Linked DNA regions of Xenopus tropicalis. The protein of the gene in region 2 purifies or fractionates together with the protein of the main gene of each other region. This does not show direct contact. Links are inferred from orthologs where the notes say so. Each region holds a gene or a part of one and is shown on either strand. Other genes may lie near its edges.

Region 1 (4,235 bases), on a different chromosome or scaffold from region 2:
GCACACAGTAGCATAACTACAGTGAAACCTTAATTTTACATACCATGATTTGAAGTTTTGCTCCATTTTACACCTTTTTTGTTGTCCACCCAGTATAAAACATAATCACCAGCATATAGTAAATTTACATTTTCCCGGATATTAAGACTTTTCTGATCCCCTATACTGTATAGAGGAAGGAGACCCCGCAGCCAGGGTCTACTTCCTCTATACAGAGGGCCATGGAGGGAGGTGTTTGCGAGTCCAATTTTACATGGAGGGGGGGGGCTAGAAAAAACATTTTGGTGAGAGGCTCAGGCACACTGCTAGCACATAATGTAACTTTTAGATTTGCTTGTCAGAAAAAAATCTGTGCTATGCAACTTGCCAGCTAAGCTCACTATTTCTAACAATCATGTATGGGATCTCATATTTAGAAACCCAATATCAAGAAAGCTCAGAATAATTCCTTCTCTGGAATAATAAAACAATACCTTGTACTTGATGGTAACTATGCCACATGAATCTATGTAGGTAGGAAACCAATTTATATAAATAAAATTCTATTAAATGTAAAGGTCCATTTTAATTACTAATAACATATATTTATAAGCACCAACCACAGGGCTATAGATATTCTAAGTATCTATAGCAATATAACATACTTCCCAACATTTGAAAAATGAAAAGAGGGACAAAAAGTTTTGGTGCGCGTAGCGCGGCAATTTTTTGACCACGCCCACTTTTGTGGCCACGCCCCAATTACCTCACCCCATTTTTTGTAAAAATACTCCTTTTATATAGATGAAATGGCGGGATCAGACGCAAATGTGCTATACCCTCATACTGTACTACCTAAGGAAAACAATATAGCAACTCCTACATTAAAATACAAATATAGAGAGAAGGCAGTCAGTTATAAGTGAGTTATAACTATCTACCAGTTTTGCCCCCCATACACAGGAGCCCCCCCATACACAGGAGCCCCGCCACACACAGTGTCCCCTATACACAGTAGCCCCCCATACACAGTAGCCCCCCATACACAGTAGCCCCACATACACAGTGCCCCCCATACACAGTAGCCCCCCCATACACAGTGCCCCCTATACACAGTAGCCCCCCATACACAGTGCCCCCTATACACAGTAGCCCCCATACACAGTGCCAGGGCCGGATTTGTTTTCGGCGCGCCCCTAGGCCACCCCATTGAACGGCCCGTGCCCCCCCAATGCGCATGCGCAAATGAGCGAACAACCACTCGTCTCCCTACCCCGCCCTCCCTGCGCGCTCGCGAGTGCGCATGCTCATACATTTAAAGGAGCCCCACCACACACAGTGTCCCCTATACAAAGTAGCCCCCCATACACAGTAGCCCCCCCATACACAGTGCCCCCTATACACAGTAGCCCCCCATACACAGTGCCCCCTATACACAGTAGCCCCCATACACAGTGCCAGGGCCGGATTTGTTTGCGGCGCGCCCCTAGGCCACCCCGTTGAACGGCCCGCGCCCCCCCAATGCGCATGCGCAAATGAGCGAACAACCGCTCGTCTCCCTACCCCGCCCCCTCATACACTTAAAGCCCCACTTCTCCCCACTGCTCCGTATTGAAAAAAACTTTAAAAATTCCATTGCGGCGGGGCGGCATGCCGCCCCTACTTTTCTGCCGCCCTAGGCCCGGGCCTTTGTGGCCTCTTCACAAATCCGGGCCTGCACAGTGCCCCCTATACACAGTAGCCCCCCCATACACAGTGCCCCCTATACACAGTAGCCCCCATACACATTACCCCCCACAGTAGCTCCTCCTTCTGCGGCTCCTCTCCTTATGCGGCGGCGACAGGCCCTTTATATGGTTGCGCCCGTGCGTAATGATGCCAGCGCATCCCGCAATGTGGGACATTCATGGAACTATCTGGGACAGCGGGATGCGCCATGAAAAGCGGGACTGTCCCGCGAAAAGCGGTGTATGTGTCTGCTATATTTTATGAATGAGCGATACTTCCCCTGCATGCTGTGCTCTGCCAGAGATTCCCAGGAGTGAGAGATATATGTTAGGGGTGGGAAGGTGAAACTGCCCAGCACACAAATAAAGGCAGCAGCCTCTTCTGCCTGATAAAAGACAGAGCCCCCTCAGCCCCTCACCCACTGAGCAGGAGAGGAATGCAGCCAATGCCAATAGTTAACCCTTGCCTGTCACAAATGCTCCTCCCAGGACAATTAAACATCAAGGTAAGGCTGTGAGCTTGAGTGTAGCAGGGGAGATTGAAGAGTTAAGGGGGCGGGGCTTTATTCCCCGGAGCAGAGCAAGCACAGCAATCAATTAAATGGCAAACCTAAAAAGCGGGACATCTAACAGTGAATCCGGGACAGCGGGAAGTGCCATAAATATCGGGACTGTCCCGCTGAAAGTGGGACGGTTGGGAGGTATGATTAATAATGTCAAGTCAAAAGACAGCTAAGTGTTATTTTGGATTTATTATAATCCTAAAACCCACATATTGTTGAGCAAATTACTCGCCACTGTGCACAGGAGCAGTTTCTTTGCTATTGCATATGACATTCCTGCACATTTAAATAATATTTCACTTCATCTGGCTGACACCTAGCAGGGGAGTTAAAGCACCAATGTCAGCAAGTTACATCAAGTAAGATCAGCCGCAGGTTAGGCGGCATTACCTTTCACAAGAAGCCTCACCTGCAAGCCTAGGAACTATGACTTTGGACTGAATAAGCCCCTGCGCACAAGACCCCAGCGCCCACACACAGGCTCGGCGTAAGGTTACGGACGCCATATCTGCTCTCCGCCCTCCTCCTCACACTGCCAGTAAAGCAACGCGAGAGCCGCAGTTCCCAGGAACAAGGACCTGTCACATTACTAGGTGAATGCCAGAGGCTGTGTCTGTGGTGCATACCTCCCAACCGTCCCGCTTTCAGGGACAGGGACGATATTTATGGCACTTCCTGCTGTCCCGGATTCACTGTTAGATGTCCCACTTTTCAGGTTTGCAATTTAATTGATTGCTGTGCTTGCTCTGCTCAGGGGAATAAAGCCCCGCCCCCTTAACTCTTCAATCTCCCCTGCTACACTCAAGCTCACAGCCTTACCTTGATGTTTAATTGTCCTGGGAGGAGCATTTGTGACAGGCAAGGGTTAACTATTGGCATTGGCTGCATTCCTCTCCTGCTCAGTGGGTGAGGGGCTGAGGGGGCTCTGTCTTTTATCAGGCAGAAGAGGCTGCTGCCTTTATTTGTGTGCTGGGCAGTTTCACCTTCCCACCCCTAACATATATCTCTCACTCCTGGGAATCTCTGGCAGAGCACAGCATGCAGGGGAAGTATCGCTCATTCATAAAATATAGCAGACACATACACCGCTTTTCGCGGGACAGTCCCGCTTTTCATGGTGCATCCCACTGTCCCAGATAGTTCCATGAATGTCCCACATTGCGGGATGCGCTGGCTGGAGCCGGACGTTCAGACTTCCCCGGCGGCTTTACTCGTTATGCGGCTCCTTATACAGCACGACAGGCCCTTTTATAAGGTTGCGCCTGTGGGTACGTGTGACATCATTACGCACGGGCGCAACCATATAAAGGGCCTGTCGCCGCCGCATAAGGAGAGGAGCCGCAGAAGAAGGAGGAGCTACTGTGGGGGGTAATGTGTATGGGGGGGTAATGTGTATGAGGGGGCACTGTGCAGGCCTGGATTTGTGGAGAGGCCACAAAAGCCCGGGCCTAGGGCGGCAGAAAAGTAGGGGCGGCATGCCGCCCCGCCGCAATGGAATTTTTAAAGTTTTTTTCAATACGGAGCAGTGGGAACTTCTCCCCACTGCTCCGTATGGGGCTTTAAATGTATGAGGGGGCGGGGTAGAGAGACGAGCGGTTGTTCGCTCATTTGCGCATGCGCATTGGGGGGGCGCGGGCCGTTCAACGGGGTGGCCTAGGGGCGCGCCGCAAACAAATCCGGCCCTGGCACTGTGTATGGGGGCTACTGTGTATAGGGGGCACTGTGTATGGGGGGCTACTGTGTATAGGGGGCACTGTGTATGGGGGGGCTACTGTGTATGGGGGGCTACTTTGTATAGGGGACACTGTGTGTGGTGGGGCTCCTGTGTATGGGGGGCACCTGTGTATGGGGGGCAAAACTGGTAGATAGTTATAACTCACTTATAACTGACTGCCTTCTCTCTATATTTGTATTTTAATGTAGGAGTTGCTATATTGTTTTCCTTAGGTAGTACAGTATGAGGGTA
Region 2 (4,422 bases):
CTCAGGAAAAAAACAATATTCTCAAGAAATCCTCCTAGCCACCTCCTGCAAGACTACTGAAATGAAAATAATGCTATAAATAATGCTATAGGACTAAATAAACGTTAATAGGTTCTTGCTTGTACACATTGACTTGTTAACCTCTCTTTATAAAACAAGTCTGTTTTAATATATCTTAAACTGAACAAGGAATCCGTGATTTAAGTTATTATTTTTCCTCTATTTTCCTCATCGCCGGATAATCCCAAGGTACATTTTGATTAAAAGTACTGCATAAAGCACAAGCACTGAATTTACACTCATTTTAAAAGGAGGGGGATGGAAAAAACAATACTGAAAAATGTTATTTGTAAATTAGCAAATATTTTTATATTCTGCCAAAAACACATTATAGTACTTAGTTTAAAATCTTTTTTTACAATCACTGATACGACCCAAACATTTAAAAGGCACCCAAAAGCTGAAGACTACTCTAAATTTCTGCATTACAGTACATAAAGGATGCCCAACCAGAGCCCAGTGGGCCAGCTATGGCCCTGCCACTGTTTTGTTTCAACAAGTCTAAGATTTGTTCTTAGCGAAGAAAAAGATGTAAACTGCCACATAGGCTGTTGTGCATTGTCTTTTTCTTTATATCACCTAGTATGTGAACGCATGTAATGTAATGGCTGCTATCCTATCAAAGGTTTGAATACATTTGTTTTTAAAACAAGGCTCCAAAGTGTAGCTGCCACAATGATATAACTCTTAAAGGAGTGCTTCACCTTTAATTTTACTTTTAGAATGTTATAGAATGGCCAAGTCTAAGCAGCTTTTCAATTGGTCTTCATTATTTACTCCTTATAGTTTTTGAATTATTTGCCTTCTTCTTTAAATTCTTTGTAGCTTTCAAATGGGGGACATTGACCCCAGCAGCCAAAAACTACAGACTACAGTTTTATTGTTATTATTACTTTTTATCATTTTTTTCTCTCCTCCTCATCAGTCTCTTATTCAAACCACTCCCTGGCTGCGAAGGTAATTTGTACCATAGCTGTTAAAACTCCAATATGAAGAGTTGCTGAACTAGAATTTAATTTAAAAAAAAAACTACTGACAAAAAATCAAGACCAACTGCAAAGATATTATACTCTACATTATACTAAAAGTTAACTCAGAGGTGAACAACCCCTTTGAAACTGCTGCAATGTTTTTTACAGACAGTGAACATGTTGTACATTAAAGACCCAGTCACAGAAAGGCAATGGGCTTTAGCCACAGCACAAATGCAATACCTGTATTTGAAACAGTGAGACCGTGAGACACTTGAGTGTGTCAGATGCTGACATTGCATCTATGCAGTTGGTAGTCTGGCCATTCTTTGAAAAGGCCCTCTATTTATTGCATGTTTAAGATGCAGCTGTCATACATTGGAATGGAGCACATAATACTTCAAACCCTGGCATAAAAGCAAAATGAAATGATCTTTTATAGACGTAGAACACTATTATCTCATATCAGTGTGCTGCAATCACAGCAGATATTGCCTTGCACCATTACTAGTATAAAATTGTGACCAACAACTGCATTTTAAAACTCTTTCCATATGAATGCATGGTTGTGATGTTCTGCTAGCATAACTAAATGTATTTAAAGGTCACCAAATATCTGTAAATAATTATGAAATAAATAGAAAAAGATACTTATAAAATACATTGATAATATATTCAAAGTTAACAAGAATAGGCACGGAAATAAGAATAAAAAAATGTAACATCTAAACATTGACAATAAGGAAAACTGACTTCTGGCATAATAATTCAAGATACAGAACAGAAGCACAGAAAGGAATAAACAAATGTCTTTTTTTCTGGAATACATTTAAAAATCACTATAAAAATCTCATAAAAATGTTTTAATAGTCACGCAAAACAACAGAAAAGTATCATACATAAAAATTCACATGTTATTAATACATTGCAGTCATAAAGTATCTGGTTTTACACACATACAACATATAGATACAGTTGTGTATTCACTGTGATGGACCAACCTGCAGTGTGGGCTCAAAAGACATTGTTGGGTTGTGCTCCTGACTAGACATCCCTGACCTCCTACACAAACTGCACCCAGTTCAACAATAATATACAACACACTCCTCCAGCCATGCTATTAACATGTGCAGAATCTACAGATGGACTGATATAGAAACATAAAACCAGTGGGTATTTCTCTGACTGTATATGACACACTACCCATAAAAGGCATGTTCAACAAAAATGCAAAATTCTGTAAACTAAACTAACATACACAAACTGACCTCTTCCTCCCAACTTCCAGTGCATACGGCTCCCCTCCTCCCTCGCATGACAGTGCAATCCCCCTACTCCTCCTTCTTACCGGGCCTCTCCCCGCTGCCCACACCAACAAATGCCCACTTCAGTGTCCTAATACACTGTATGCTCTGTCCATAAATGTACTTTCGGGGTGCAATGTATACACGTGTTTGTATATGTACACTGGGTGGCCTCTAACCGTGTCCCGGGCCTGAAGCCTCGGCCTTGAATGTAAACAGAGCCCGAGCACGAGAGGGGAAGGGGGCAGTAAGATGCGGAGCCTGCCGACTGGGCGACAGGTAAAAGGAAACGATGGGGTAGCGTTACATGCCGGGCCAAGAGGGTAACAGAAGCTCCCAGGAACAGCAAGTGGAGCCGGCAGCACAGGGAGGAGGCCTGGGCCTGTACCCTCACCACTCTGGAGGAGATATATTAACAGGAAGTACAGAGGAATGGCTGCCTACTGAGAGATGTGCGTGTGCGGGGGTACTGGTGTGGGGACACTAGCTTTCTAGCCCCCCATGTCCTCCCATCACGGCTCTCACCTTCATGTCGGGACATCCTATCGCTCAGGCCGCCGCCGCTGCAGCTGCTGCTCCGGCTCCTCCTCCTCCTAGTGAGACAGCAGTGTGTGTGTGTGTGCTTCCTCTGCACCCTCCTCCTCTTCCTCCTGACACACGCTCACAGACAGCACACGTACAGAGGAACACTGGAAGCAGGTAAGGCACACCAAGTCTAAAAGAGGCTCTACTCACTCAAGCATCACTTTGGGGTCCATACACATTATTTCGCAGACACCAGTTAAGCTATTTAGGCTATGCATAAATATATAGACGGCTTATTCCTGAATTAGATTAAATACGGAAGGGATTTAGTATGGGTTAAATATATTTGATATATGCATTATACATGATCAGTACCTAAAACAACTCTATATTAATGGTCAGTATTATAGTGTGATGTAGATTATGGACGTCCAACCTACCTCTTTCTTCTGTTGTTGTTGGGCTGCAGCTTACATAAACCCCACAGTCTCTAGCTGTTGTGCTGCTGTGGGAGAAATAGTTTTTCTGTACACTCTTAAAACTGTTGTGGAAAGCCTATATTTCTGCTTTTGTGGAGAGGTGGCTCATCCAGAATAATTGCCAGATTATATATATATATATATATATATATATATATATATATATACACACACACACACACACACACACACACACACACACATAATTTTATATGTGCTCTAATTTCAAAATGTTTCTGCACAGGCACATGTGCATTTCTTGGGATGGAAAATTACTTAAGACAGTTAAAGGAATGCTGTAATGGGAAAATATGTTTTTTCAATACACATAAGTTAATAGAGCATTGAAATCCATTTTTCAAAAATGCAAAAAGATTTTTTTATATTTAAAGGAGAAGGAAAGGCTAAGTCACTGGGGGTGCCAAAAGGTTAGGTACCCCCACAGTTACTTTAATAGCTTACCTTTTACCCCGTGAGCGAGTTTCTCCTCTTCGTTCTTCTGTCTTCACTTTAACCAAAAAAGTCGGCTTTTTTTTACTCTACTGTGCATGCGCCGGCCCCGGGATTCAGAGGAAAGAAGGAAGAGAAAACACTAAACTAAGAATATGTCTAGCTCCATGTCAAATATCAAAATTAAACTTAAAAAAATCTGTTTGCTCTTTGGGAAAAAAGGGTAGTCAATGCAGGATTCTTCTGGAAGAGCGCTATTAACTGATTCATTTGTAAAAAAACATGTTTTCCTGTGACAGAATCCCTTTTACTTTTATTATAATGTAGAGAGTGATATGCAGAGACAATTAGCAGTTAGTCTTCATTTTTGTTTCTTCGTTTTTAATTATTCAGTTTTTTTTTGTTTTGTTTTTTTTTCAATCAGCAGCTCTTGGTTGTAAATTTCCCTTCAACCAAGTGTTCGTGTGAATTGGAGACTGGATTATGAGTAGGACAAGCCTGAATAGAAATATATGTGATAAAAAGTAACAATAGAAATTGTAGCCTCACAGAGCAAAAGTTTTTTGTGACCCCCATTTGAAAGCTGGCAAGAGTCTAAAGAAGAAGGCATATAATTCAACTACTATAAAAAAA

Evidence for each region.
Region 1: the proteins of kcmf1 (region 2) and abhd10 purify together in Homo sapiens (affinity purification with mass spectrometry; 3 studies listed by BioGRID and IntAct, counting the BioPlex papers as one, with this or other methods). This does not show direct contact. The link is inferred for Xenopus tropicalis from reciprocal best matches to the Homo sapiens genes KCMF1 and ABHD10.

What each region holds. Positions count from the first base shown.
Region 1 is NC_030678.2:76,649,900-76,654,134, forward strand, and holds the start of abhd10 (mycophenolic acid acyl-glucuronide esterase, mitochondrial), read right to left. Parts: upstream 2,899-4,235; 5' UTR 2,776-2,898; coding exon 2,679-2,775; intron 1-2,678. UniProt on the Homo sapiens protein: Acts as an acyl-protein thioesterase that hydrolyzes fatty acids from acylated residues in proteins.
Region 2 is NC_030677.2:94,528,621-94,533,042, reverse strand, and holds the start of kcmf1 (E3 ubiquitin-protein ligase KCMF1), read right to left. Parts: upstream 2,916-4,422; 5' UTR 2,877-2,915; coding exon 2,861-2,876; exon of another isoform or gene 2,693-2,860; intron 1-2,692. UniProt on the Homo sapiens protein: E3 ubiquitin-protein ligase which accepts ubiquitin from an E2 ubiquitin-conjugating enzyme and then transfers it to targeted substrates, promoting their degradation by the proteasome.